Linked DNA regions of Caenorhabditis elegans. The protein of the gene in region 1 purifies or fractionates together with the protein of each later gene. This does not show direct contact. Each region holds a gene or a part of one and is shown in the gene's direction. Other genes may lie near its edges.

Evidence for each region. Proteins that work in one complex are often made in the same cells at the same time.
Region 2: the proteins of prde-1 (region 1) and mel-28 purify together in Caenorhabditis elegans (affinity purification with mass spectrometry, with the first as the bait; one study listed by BioGRID). This does not show direct contact.

What each region holds. Positions count from the first base shown.
Region 1 is NC_003283.11:15,536,469-15,541,285, forward strand, and holds the start of prde-1 (piRNA biogenesis factor prde-1), read left to right. Parts: upstream 1-1,775; 5' UTR 1,776-1,789; coding exon 1,790-1,969; intron 1,970-2,039; coding exon 2,040-2,405; intron 2,406-3,398; coding exon 3,399-3,739; intron 3,740-4,817. Other genes in the region: F21A3.4 (Trichohyalin-like), read left to right, coding at 198-248, 303-533, 1,029-1,181, 1,234-1,518. UniProt on the Caenorhabditis elegans protein: Nuclear factor required for the production of piwi-interacting RNA (piRNA) precursors. Specifically required for piRNAs produced from loci associated with the Ruby motif. Promotes binding of the transcription factor snpc-4 at piRNA genomic clusters.
Region 2 is NC_003281.10:4,784,165-4,792,121, forward strand, and holds the start of mel-28 (Protein mel-28), read left to right. Parts: upstream 1-1,915; 5' UTR 1,916-1,916; coding exon 1,917-2,007; intron 2,008-2,051; coding exon 2,052-2,189; intron 2,190-2,247; coding exon 2,248-2,496; intron 2,497-2,542; coding exon 2,543-2,650; intron 2,651-2,694; coding exon 2,695-3,611; intron 3,612-3,659; coding exon 3,660-3,779; intron 3,780-3,822; coding exon 3,823-4,307; intron 4,308-4,360; coding exon 4,361-4,875; intron 4,876-4,925; coding exon 4,926-5,269; intron 5,270-5,319; coding exon 5,320-6,408; intron 6,409-6,463; coding exon 6,464-6,556; intron 6,557-6,606; coding exon 6,607-6,699; intron 6,700-6,744; coding exon 6,745-6,837; intron 6,838-6,883; coding exon 6,884-7,186; intron 7,187-7,233; coding exon 7,234-7,545; intron 7,546-7,621; coding exon 7,622-7,849; intron 7,850-7,894; coding exon 7,895-7,957. Other genes in the region: enu-3.2 (ENhancer of Uncoordination), read right to left, coding at 1-136, 298-435, 550-897, 956-1,015. UniProt on the Caenorhabditis elegans protein: Nuclear envelope protein which has essential roles in assembly of nuclear pore complexes and in chromatin maintenance during the cell cycle. Appears to be a stable structural component of the nuclear envelope during interphase.

The sequences.
Region 1 (4,817 bases):
CCTCGGGGAGTACACGGATCAGAGAGCTTGAAAATCAAGTTTTATACTTTTATTAAATCAATTAATTACCAGCGTGAACATTCAAAATTTTGATTTTAAAATATTCCATAGAATTCAAATTTCTCGTGGCAAATGTGGAACCTATTCGACATTTGAATTTATTTCCGAATATTTTTCTCCGAAAAATCAATCGATAAATGGATATCAAAGTGATTCGCGAGAAGTTGACCCTGACAACGTCGATTACGGTGGGTTCCGCGCGAAATTTCTATTCGGAAAAAGTTCAAGTGATTTTTTTTCAGAGCGAATCGGTCGCCGAATACGAGCACGATGTCGACGAATGTTGTCGCCTTCTGGAGCACAAGCTCGAGCTGGAAATGGAGAAGAAGCTGCAACTGAGCAATCGGATCGATGTCGTTCAGTCGCAGGTCACCGAACTTTGGGATCGCGTGGATAAGGCGAGACGTCGCGAATCGGACATCTCGTGTCGCGTCACCGCCTGGGCTCAGCATTTGTCGGAGATGATGAATGAGGTATTACATAGTCGTCAAAAAATTATGTGGGTCTCACCACGCTGTGAACGAGGTACTGTAACTCGTGTCGATTTACGGGCACTAACCTATAAAAAGAACCACTAAATTTTGAGAATGGGTATTGCGCAACGTATCTGACGCGCAAAATATCCCGTAGCGAAAACTACAGTAATTCGTTAAATGACTACTGTAGCGCTGGTCCGATTCTGAAAATCAAAAAAAACTTCCGAATTTTCCGAGAAATGTTTCCGAAAATAAAAAAAAGCCCGTAAATCGACATCCGTGCTACAGTAGTCATTTAAAGAATTACTGTAGTTTTCGCTACGAGATACTTTGCCCGTCAGATATGTTGCATAATACGCATTCTCAGCATTTAGTGTTTTTGTAATAGCGACCCGTGAATTATCACAATGAAAAGTAACCTTTTGTCCGCGTGACGAGACCATGCGCGTAAGATATGGCGAAAACTAATATTATATGCAATTTTTTGTTCAGGTGAAGCTGAAAAAGGCTAAGATGGGCACAACGATGGAAATATCCGCGACACTTTCTGCTGAAATTCAAGAAAGTCTGGATTTACTCGCGGAAAAGCGAGTGATTGTTCAGAGAATGCGGGAGGAAATCGACTATCGTCGCCACTTGCACAAGGTTTTTATTAATAAATCTGAAAATGTTTAAAGCAATATTGAAACATTTTCAGCAACAACTCAAAGATTTGAAGCTGGATTGTGACAGAGAGGAGGAGAAATGCGAATATTGGAATGATAAAAGCGCTGAAATCGAAAAAGTTGTGGAAATGCTCAAAGAGCAACGCAAATCGCTTGGCGAACGTGTTGAAGAGGAGAAACGAATGGAGCAGGAGCAGAAGAAGATGCTGGAAGAGCTTGAAATGTTGTTGAAGAAAACTGGGAAGAAACGGCAGATTTTAGATGAAAACGCCAATTTGGTGGCTTCTTTCTCCAGTTTGACCGAGGAAAGCTCTTAATTTTTATGTTTTTTTCTTCAAAAGCATTTTTTTTGTGTGTTTTTTCCTCAAAATAAATCATTTTTAATTGTTTTAAAACATGTTTTTGAAATTAATCGTCAATAACGAAAGTTGCGTCAGCTACCACTGCTAGCGCGTTTCTCGTGTTGCTTGCGCTTTTCTCGATGGCAGCGAATTTTAAATTTAAATATTTAAATTTTCGTTTTTCCTGCCTAAATTTACTTGTTTTTCACCATTTTTCTTGTGAGTTTATCAACTTTTCAGGTAAAAAATGAACAGAAATCGCAAAGGACACGATTTAGAAAACATTGAGCATCGATTCACCGATGAGGACTTGGCAGGTCTGAAGGAGCAAAAGCTTTTTAATGGTAAATGGATTATTTTGGAGAAAAAGGAGAAACGAGGAGCCGCGTATTGTTATCTTGTGTGTGACAAGCCGTGCAAGAAATTTGTGAGTTATTAAAAAAAATTAAATTTAAAAAAAAAAAAAGTAAAAAAAAAATTATTATTCGAATTTTCAGGGGATTCTTTACTTGGAAATCGGCGAGGACAACGTGACAACCATCGCGAATCAAGTAGATTTCTATCATCAGCAATCGTCACTTGGCTATTCTCATCGATTTTCCGCTTTAATTGATGCCGGAATCATAAATAATCACGTCTTCTTCATGGTCGTCAGAATCCGTGCAGGACCCACTTTACATGATCTTTTAAAATGTCTGAGCAGTGATAAAATGTCCGTAACTACTGCCAGTTTCCTCGCTGTCGACATGATTTCTGCTATCGAAATTCTGTCAGCTTCCGGATGGGTTTTGAGAAATTTCGACTCGAAACAATGGATGTTGGATATCAAAACGAGGCAGTTTTATTTGGCCGATGCTACTGATGTACGGACTATGTTTCCGCTTTTAAAATAACAATTTCCACTAAAAAATTGCAAGAAAAATCGCGATTTTCAGCAACTTTTCACCTAGAAAACGCATTTTTTCGGAATTACACGAAAAAACCAATTTTCTTAAAAATTCACCTAAAAAATCTCGATTTCCAGCATTTTTTCACCTGAAAAGCGTATTTTCTTGGAATTGTACAAAAATCGCCGATTTTTAGCAATGTTTTCACATAAAAAACTTAATTTTTTGGATTTATACAACAAGAAACCCCGATTTTCAGTAATTTTCCTGAAATTCGCCCGAAAAATCTAAATTTTCAGCAATTTTCACCGAAAAAGCGTATTTTCTTCGTATTATACAAAAATCTGTGATTTTTAGCAATGTTTTCACATAAAAAACGTATTTTCTCGGTAAATCCACAAAAAACCAATTTTCAGTTATTTTTCTTGAAATTTGCCCGAAAAATCTCAATTTCCAGCAATTTTTACCTAATGGGGTTATTCAAGTAGTGTCGGAAAATTAAAAAGTGTAGAAAAATTACGTCACAACCTTATTCAAGTAGATAAAAACATGTATTTAAATACATTTGTGACGTCACAAATGTATTTAAATACATTTTGCTACATTACTTGAATAACCCCATAAAAATTTGAAATTTTTGGGAAAAATGAATAAAAGTCCCAGAATCGTCTGAAAATCAACATTGTTGGTTTCAAAAACTCCGCAAAACAGCGAGTTTCTTTAGAAAAATTATTAAAAACATATACTTCGTCAAAAAAAAACAATTTCTACTGAAAAAAACTAAAAATCGCAATTTTCAGTCGAAATTCGAGTTTATTTTTTCGATTTTATTTTTTTATTAATCAAATTTTTGATTTCTTGGAAGAAATTTCGGTTTCAGACTCTTAAAATAAACAATTTATGCATTTAAAACCCCAGATTCTCGTTAAAAATCGATTTTTCTCATACTAAAATTCCAAAAATTTGCAGATCACCGTCTCCTCTGACAAACGTCACCGTGCCATCGACGAGATTCATCTCAGAACAGCCGAATCTATAGATTTGCATTGGAAAACCGGAGATTTGATCTACGCGCCGCGCTCTTTTGTCGATCGAGATCAATCTCATCGAATGACTGAATTGGATATGATGGAAATGATGCTCTATGTGCTCTACGATTGGACACATGGAAAATTGCCGTGGAAATCGTCGAAATCCAGAGAAAGAATTATGGAAATGAAGGAATTGTTCATTGAAAATTTGCAAAAAGAGCCGGAAGAAACGAATAAAGTCGAGCAGCAAATTGATGTTGATGTTTGGTTCGATATCGCGTATGGATTTTGGAAAATTTAGCAAAAAAATGAGATTTTCATGGAAATTCATCCAAAAAATCGGGATTTTCAGTGATTTTTCTTCCTTTAAGAATGATTTTTGCTAATTACATTTTTAAAAAATCACGATTTTTAGCTATTTTTCATTTAAAAAATCATTTTCTTGCTAATTATTCAAAAAATTCAAATTTTCAGTGATTTTTCACCAAAAAAAGTAGAAAAAAGTAGATTTCTTGCAATTTACACAAAAAATCTCGATTGATAGCAATTTTCACCTAAACACAAAACAAATAATTATCCCAAAAATCCAGAATTTTAGCATTTTTCCTAAATACTAAAAATCATTTTTCTTGCAATTTTTATAAAAAATCGTCTTCTAATTTTTTTCACTCAAAAAATAAAATATTTTCCTGAAATTATCCCGAAAAGCCCCGATTTTCAGCTATTTTTCATCGAAAAAAAATCTAATTTTTATGAAAATTCACCCAAAAAACCCCGATTTTCAGCGATTTTTCACAAAAAAAGAATACAATTTTCTTCAAAATAACCCGAAAGGTTTCAATTTTCAGCATTTTTTTATGGAAAAAAACTAATTCACCCTTTTTTTTTTCACGAAAAATCAATTTTTTTAGAAATTCACCCAAAAATCCAGATTTTCAGCATTTGTTCTTCTAAAAAATATTTTTCTTGCAATTTACATAAAAAATCACTTTTTTTAAAAGCAATTTTTCACTTAAAAAAATAAAAATTTATTGTAAACCAGCCGTGGACCGCACCTTCGGCGCAGCCCCCGACTTCTGGGGCTGAAAACTAATTTTTCTGAAACTACCGTAATCATACAGTACTCCTACCGTACCACTATTGTACCACTACAGTACCCCGACTATATCCCTACACTAAGCCCAACTCACTATCCTCCAGAAGCCAAAACGTCACAGAATACAAAGACTACATAGACTACAAACTATGGACAAACGGAATAAGCGCTTTATATATAGTAAATGATTACCTGAAATATTTAGATTTTAAGCAATTTTTCCGAAAAATTGAATTTTCCTGCAGCATTTTCCATTTTAGC
Region 2 (7,957 bases), on another chromosome or scaffold:
TGGTCCGACTCTCGTATGGTCCGTTGGTCGAGCCTGCTCCGAGGGCTGGTGTGATGGGCGGGGCCACCGCGGATCGTCGTTTCTCCATCACTTTTGTGACGTTTCCATTGGGAGTCTTGCTCTCTGCTACCACATACTGAAATTTAAAACTGCGTTTTTTCAATTCTCTTTCAATGCTAATAATTCCGTTTTTACGTCGTGGCCGCGAAATGCGAAAACTCGGCCACCTTCAAAGATCTTGGCCGAGCTCTCGCTTTTTCTAGGCCACGTTGCAAAAAAATCGATAATAAAACGTACCGGATTCGCGGCAATTCCATAAGCCAACCGCTCTCGGCGTTCCTTCTCCTCATCCTCGTGCTGCTGATCGTCTTGTTCTTCTCGCTTCCTAGCCGCCATCTGCTCAGCGATGAGCTCCTCAAAATATTTCTTCTGCTCCTGAAAAGAAGGTTTCGTATGTTGAAAGTTGTCCACGTGTAGTACGCAATTCGCTTTTCATTAAATATAACTTAAATCAATAAAAAGCTAGGCCACTGGCAAAATTTCACTTACCCTCGCCTTCTGATCCTCGAGGTAGAAATACAAAAAAATGTGGAAAATGACGAAGGCGATCAGGATGCCATATCCGATGTACTTCGGCGTGTCCTTGTGAACATTGATCGTGTATGCACATGACGGGCAGTGTGTGCCGTTTCCATTTTTGCAGGTTTGAGGGCTCGCCGAGCTCACAAGAGCAAGCTGCGTCGTATTGGCGGCAGGAGCGGTCACGTTTACATTTTTCGTCGGATTGCCGGCAGGAGCGGTCGCATTAGGACTTTTTGCCGAATTGCCGGCAGGAGCGGTCACGTTTGAAGTGTTCGTAGCGGCGGAAACAGGCACATTTGGTGTGGTGGTTGTTGGCTGAAAAATGGTGAAACATTATGGTCTAGAAAAATCGAAGGATGTCTAGGCAACTCACCAATACATGAACTATTAATCCGAAGATTACCAATGAAAACAAAATACGCAAAATACGCATTTTTGAGTGACGCGTGTGTCGGAGAGAAACCGATTTCACAAACTAATTTAAGTTATAATTTGTTTATTTCAATCGCTACGTGTGCCGTGTGCCACGTGGCCACGCGTGAGTAGGGGCGGGGCCTATTTCGCAACCACCGCACACTTTTTTCGCAAGCCTCGCACGTTTTTCCATGATATTGTTGCATTTTTCAAAAGAAAAAACGTGCGAGGCTTGCGAAAAAAGTGTGCGGTGGCTGCGAATAGGTCCCGCCCCTGCATCCTGTTTTGGGTTCCTTTTTGTTTGTTTTTTTTTCGCGGATGGTTAATTTTGTTTTCGAAGAATTTCTCGTAAAAAGTTCCTTTACAATTAGTCAAATTTTATTCACTCAATAAACAAGGTTTTTCTTCAAAAAATACAAGGTTTCGCGATGCGCCTATCATTTTATCATTTCTTGAGTAAAACAGTCTTTACGCTCGTTGCTCCAAAAAATGTATGTTTCTTAAGGGTTTCCATTAATTTTTTAGAAGTCATTTGAAAATGCTAAAAAGTTGGTTTACGTCATTTTAAGTATGTGCTTCTCTTAAGATAATGATGTAATATGGATTATATTCCAATTTAAATCATTCAAATTGATTTTTTTCATTTAAGAATTCCATTCAATTTCTACATTCTTCGTTGCGTCTTCTAACCTTTGCAAGCATTTTCCATTTTCGCTTGTTTTCGCAGTCCGTATGTTTCCGTTGCGGTGTTTGCGTATTGGTGAAAACAAATTTTCCCGGTCGTTTGAATGTAGTCGGACGAGCCCTTATTTTAAGCTACGCACTTCTAAAACCACTTATTTTAATTGATAATTTCTTTGTCTCACTTCTTTAAATGTTATTTATTAGCTGCGATGTGCAAAGGTTTATTTTTTTTCAGAATGGATAATGAAAATTCGTCCATTTTCAAATCATATCAAGGATACGAGTGTTGGAGGGGAGAAAAGCAAATTATTTTGAAGGATTCAATTGGTATTTCATATTTCTATCGATTCAACATTATTCTATTCATTCAGGTCGTCAACTTCCCTACATTGTGAATTTTAAAAAGAATACGTGTCAAATATTCGATATCGAATGGGAACGCGTAACTCACTCGTTCGTTTTCCCTGAAGGATGTGCTTTGATCGATGCGGACTATTTTCCAACAGAAGGTAAGTTTTTTATTACTATCATATTTTCTTTATTGATTTCAAAATATTTTATTTACAGAAGGAAAGCTCGGAATTCTTGTTGGTGTTGAAGATCCTCGTCAGTCGTGCGGTGCCGAGCACTTTGTTCTTGCATTGGCAGTTGATCCGGATTCACCAGCCATGACAATCACACACTCACTGGAAGTTCCATCGAAAATTACAGTTGTGAAGACGCTTTTTTCGTCTGCCGACATGGCTGATGAAACACAGAGAACAGTTTTAAAGCTCTATCATCGACTGATGACGTGGCAGCATATTGTGGCAATTGGTAATAAATCAAATTTGAATGAAAACTTTGCAAATTTACATTCCAGGTTGCAAGGAGACACAATGCTACTTAGCTCGTTTAGTTGCTGTTGAGACGCCGTCAAGTCCTGTCATCACAGTTCACAGTGAGAAAAAGTATTTGATCAACCTAATGAGTAAGTTTCCCGAAGATTAAACAAATTTGATTAGTGTGTTTCAGATGCTTACGTCAGCGGTTCAGTTCTTCAGTACACTTTGGACGATGGAGCATATCGTGAATACCCAACCGCCGCCGTGTATATCTCAGCGTTATCGTTGATGCCAAGAAGTCGAACTCTTCTTGTCGGTTTATCGATGGGAGGCATTCTGGCAGCTTCATTGAATCCTTCAAATCAGATGATGCTTTTGGAATTGAGACACGAACGACTTGTCAGAAAAATTGCTCCATTAGAACCAGAAGATGATCCCGACAAATTTGAGTATTTCATCGCCACTGTTGATTGTTCACCTCGTCATCCAATCATGATTCAACTTTGGCGTGGATCTTTCAAAACTCTCGAGGATGTTGATGGAGAAGAAAAGTACGACCGTCCATCATTCAGTGTTTGTCTAGAACATAAGATTTTGTTCGGAGAAAGATGGTTGGCTGTGAATCCTATTGTTACTGAAAGAGATCATATGATGCTCACAAGAAAGCGAGGAACGGAAGATTCGATGCACAATGTTTCTCAGACATTCGGATCAACTTCTAATCGAAACTCTGTTCTTTTGGCATACGAACGAAAGAAGATGGTGATCGGCACAGAAGACCCGAATGCTGAACCAGAATACATTGTGGAAGCAGCTATTTTTGATATAGATTCATGGTACTACAAAAGAGTTCCCGGTCGAGTATCTACAGATGGAACTGTTCTCAAGCAATGTGCATTCTTATCAACTATAAAGTCTAACATCCGATCAGAAGATGTAAATGACATCGGAATTCTTACAAATGAGGCCACTGATGTATCCAGCTTCTCTAGCATGGTTTCAGACGCAGATCAACTGTTTTATCCGTCAGCATTAAGCTTCGAAAGGGTTTTTGTTGCCAAGAATACCAGAATTGACTGGATGAAGATCCAGAACATCCAGGACACGGTAAATTTATCGGCATTGAGATTGTTTTTATTCCGGTTTTTTTTTCAGATTTTGAACAAATGCGCCGTCAAACTGCCTGCTCTCATCAGGAATCCCGAAATGATTTCCAGCGTTGTTATGGCAGCTGGTTTAGTGAGAAAAAATATTCTGTCTGGATCTCCCAATTCGGTGAGCTTATTTTTTAAAGTTAAATTGATGAAATTGTTTTCAGAGCGCCGCAGAAATAAACGAACTTCAATTATCGTCTGATCAAAAGGTTCTTCTCAACGTTATCGTCTACTACGGAAAAATTGAAGAGTTTTGTCAATTGGCATCTCGTCCTGACATTAGTGACACGCTAAAACGGGAATTAGCAGAATGGGCACTTCACGAAGCTGTTGACTACAAGAGAACTATTTCTGACAAGATGGTTTCACTCTTCCAGGGAAGATCACTTGCTCTCTCTCCACTAGCAGAAGAATCTATTGCACAGGGAATCAAGCTTTTCCGAGTTGTTTACGAATATCTGAAAGCCTGTTCAAAAGCGTTAAAAGATGATCGACTTCGCAATTTGGCCCATTCTGTGATATGTATGAGAAACCATACGAAACTTACCAGCCAATTCATCAATTTTGCCATCATTCCTGTAGACCCGATCAGACAGCAAAGAATGAAGGATTTACATTCAAAGAGAAAAAATATGGCGAGAAAGAACTCGTGAGTTTAGAAAAATCCTTTTTAAGAAAAAGTTATACGATTAAATTATTCAGATCATCTCTACCCGTTCAATCAGTCGTTCGAAAAATGAATCGTCAAGCTCCAAATGCTCAATTCTGGAACGATATTCCACATGACGAATGGTATCCGCCAACACCTCTCGATTTGCTGGAATGCCTGCTGAATGTTTCGATTTCTGAGAGTATTAAACGAGAACTCGTTGTCCAATATGTCATTGATTGGATTTCCACATCTCCTGAAGATTCTGAACACAGCGAAAAACAATTGGCACTTGAAACTATCAAAATCATGACAAATCAAATGCTTAACGTTAACTTGGAGAAAATTTATTACATTCTGGACCAAGGAAAGAAGGCTTTAACAAGCAGCAAGACATCGGATGATATGAGAGCACTTGGAGAGAAAGTATTCTCAATGAAAGATGACGAGATTAGTTATGAGAAATTGTGGGGAAAAGATGCTCCGATGACAGTGACAATCGGAAAACACGATTTACAGCGATTTGAACAACGAATGAAAATGCAAATGGAAGGTGGAAAAGTTAGATGTGAGATAGATTTTCAGTCTCATTTCCAATTAATTTTTTTTAATTTCCAGTGCCAGTTCTCGATCCGGAATCTGAGATTCTCTACCAAATGTTTCTCTTTGAAAACGAAAAGTTTGAAGCAATGTCATCAGAAGCGATTAGTTCCAACAAATTGCTATCGGCTTTCCTGCCAGGAATGATCAAGAAGGATGGAAGAGGTCGTCAGAAGACTGCGAAAGAACAGGAAATCGAAATTTCAGTTAAGAAAATGTTTGAGAGAAAGGTGCAAAACGACGACGAAGATATGCCTGAAGTTTTCGCTTCTGTCAATGACAAAACAGAAAGAAAGCGGAAATCAAGTCAGTTTGGTGAAGACGATGAGAGTAGTGTTTCGTCATCACAATATGTGCCACCTGTAAGATTATTGCAGTTAAATAGTACAAACCAAGATTCTGAAATTTACAGACCGCGAAGAGAATTCAACAGTGGAAGAGTGCCGTCGAATCTGTTGCCAACAATTCGAGTATCAACAGTATCACAAGTCCGGATTCTCACCAAAATGCAGAAATCAATATGATGATTGCAACACCGGCACGGTATTACAAGCGACATAATGAGGAGGAAAATGTTCAAGATGGATTTCTATCGCCCGCTGGAAACAGACCGCCGCCAGTCTCTGCTCACAACAGTATTCTGAAAACAGCTAAAGGTGGCCAATCGGCTAGTCGAGGCCGTATCCGATTCCGTGCTGACGTTCCAAGAGGTGCTGACGAGAGTATTGAAGACAATGGTCGGAAAGGCCTTGCATTGAACTTTGCAATTCTTGAAGATGAAGAAGAGGAAACCATGACTATTAGAAAATCACGGTCTATGGGAAAACATGACGAGGAGAAGGATTCAGAGAAAAATGTAGTGGATGAGATGGAAGAAGTAAAAGATCAAGAACAAGAAAACGATGAATGCATTGAAAGTGAGAAAACTTTCGAAAACCAAGACGATTTCGAGGTTCTCGAAGATACATCTGCTCCAGAAGCTGCAAATACAGAAAATGGTTCGGAAACTCCTCCCATGGAAGATACGTTTGAAGTACGAGATGATGACGTCATGCCACCAACCGATGAGACATATTTGAGTCATTTACAAACCGATAAAACGGGTATTCTTGAGGAGGAAGGTGAAGATGAAGATATATGGGATGGAGTTCAAAGATCTTTCGAGGTTCAAATGGATGAGGATTGTGAAGCTGTACCAACGATTGATGTAGCCGATGATTTGGAGAGTAAATCTGAAGAAGTGAATGAAGAAGAGGTAGTTGAATCTGAAGAAGTTCAGCAAGATGCGAAAGAACCTGAAAAAACTGAAAAACGACAGGAAGAGCCAGAACCTGAAGTTATGCAGCCAGTGATTCCGGAAGAGCCTCAAAACGAATCTCTCGAATCGTCTATTAAACTGCAGGAAGAGTTACAGGAAGAGCCTGACATAGTTCCGACAGGTGATGAAGATACCGCGGATAAAGTTCAAGAACAAGCTGTTGAGGAAGATAGACCACCATCTGTAAGATACCATAAAATAAAATTTGAGGAAAAACGGCAATAATTGTATATTTCAGAGAAACACTCGCTCATCATCTGTCCAGAAGTCTACTTCACAAGTGGAAGACCGGGATCCGAAAGAACTTGTCGAGGAAGAAAGACCTCCATCTGTCAGTTTCGTCATCAATTTGACAGACAGAAATAAAATTTATGTTTTCAGAGAAACACTCGTTCTGCGTCTGTTCAAAAATCATCTAACCAAGAGAAAACTTCGGAATCAGGAGAAGTCACGGAAGAAGATAGACCACCATCCGTGAGTTGTTTTTAAAATTTGAAATTTATATGTGTATTTTTCTAGAGAAATACGCGGTCGGCATCTGTTCAAAAATCTTCATCAAAGGTAAAAGACCAGAAGCCAGAGGAACTCATCGAGGAAGATAGACCTCCATCAGTAAGTCTCTCGTGATTTCTTTAAAAATTTAGTTCAATATTTCCAGAGAAATACTCGATCCGCATCAGCCCAGAAGACAGTGGCAGCAAATAAATCTGTTTTGGAGTCTGAAATTCCAAGTCGTTCAGCGTCACGAAGAACTCGCTCCACATCGCTTAGGAATGATACTGTTGCCGAACCAGATGAGACGTCGGTTGCGATGACAACTCGGCGTCGGACTCGGGCAACTTCTGAGGTTGTTAGCAAGCAGTCGTCTGAAGATGATGGAAGATCGACACCAAAAACCGGAAGAACTCCCACGAAAAAGGCTGCAGCTAGTACATCTTCTAGTAGAGCTGGAAGTGTAACTGTACGTTGTTTAATCGTTTAATCATACAACTATTCGAACATTTTCAGCGCGGTAAAAAATCGATCATCCAAAAGATGCCATCCCCGCTAGAGGTTACAATGGAAGTTCAAGAAGAAGAAGAAGAAGAAGCGGAGGAGGAACGGCCTGCATCAAGAAGCACTCGCTCTGCATCTGTCAAAAATACAACTGTTGACCCATCGTCATCTGCACTTGCTTCTACCAAACGTACAACTTCTAGAAAGAGGGGCAATTCGGAAACGATCGACTTTAATCAGGACGACAAATCGGCACCGACGACGCCAAAAAGAGGAAGACCCGCCAAAAAGGATGCAGGATCTCCTAAAGTTGGAAGTAAAGCTGTAAGCATTTTTAATTATTTTTTTGAATTAAAAATGTTGTATTCATAAATTGTAAATTGATTTGTTTTCGTTTCAGCGTGGCACCAAGCCTAAATCGATATTCGAAAATCAAGAAGATGAAGAAGATCGTTCATCCTCTCCAGATATCGAACAACCAGCCACACCTACACGGTCTTCCAAACGAACGGCTAGATCCAGAGCAAATTCCGAATCGATCGATGATGATAGCAAGCAGAAGACCCCAAAAAAGAAAAATGCCGCGGTTAATGAAGCTGGTACCAGTAAACAGTCTAGAAGTGTGACGGTATGATCCCAAAACATAATTTTTTTTCAAAATTATTATTTTCAGAGATCTCGAGCATCATCTATTGATGTACAACAAGAGGTGGAAGAGCCAACCACTCCAAAACGC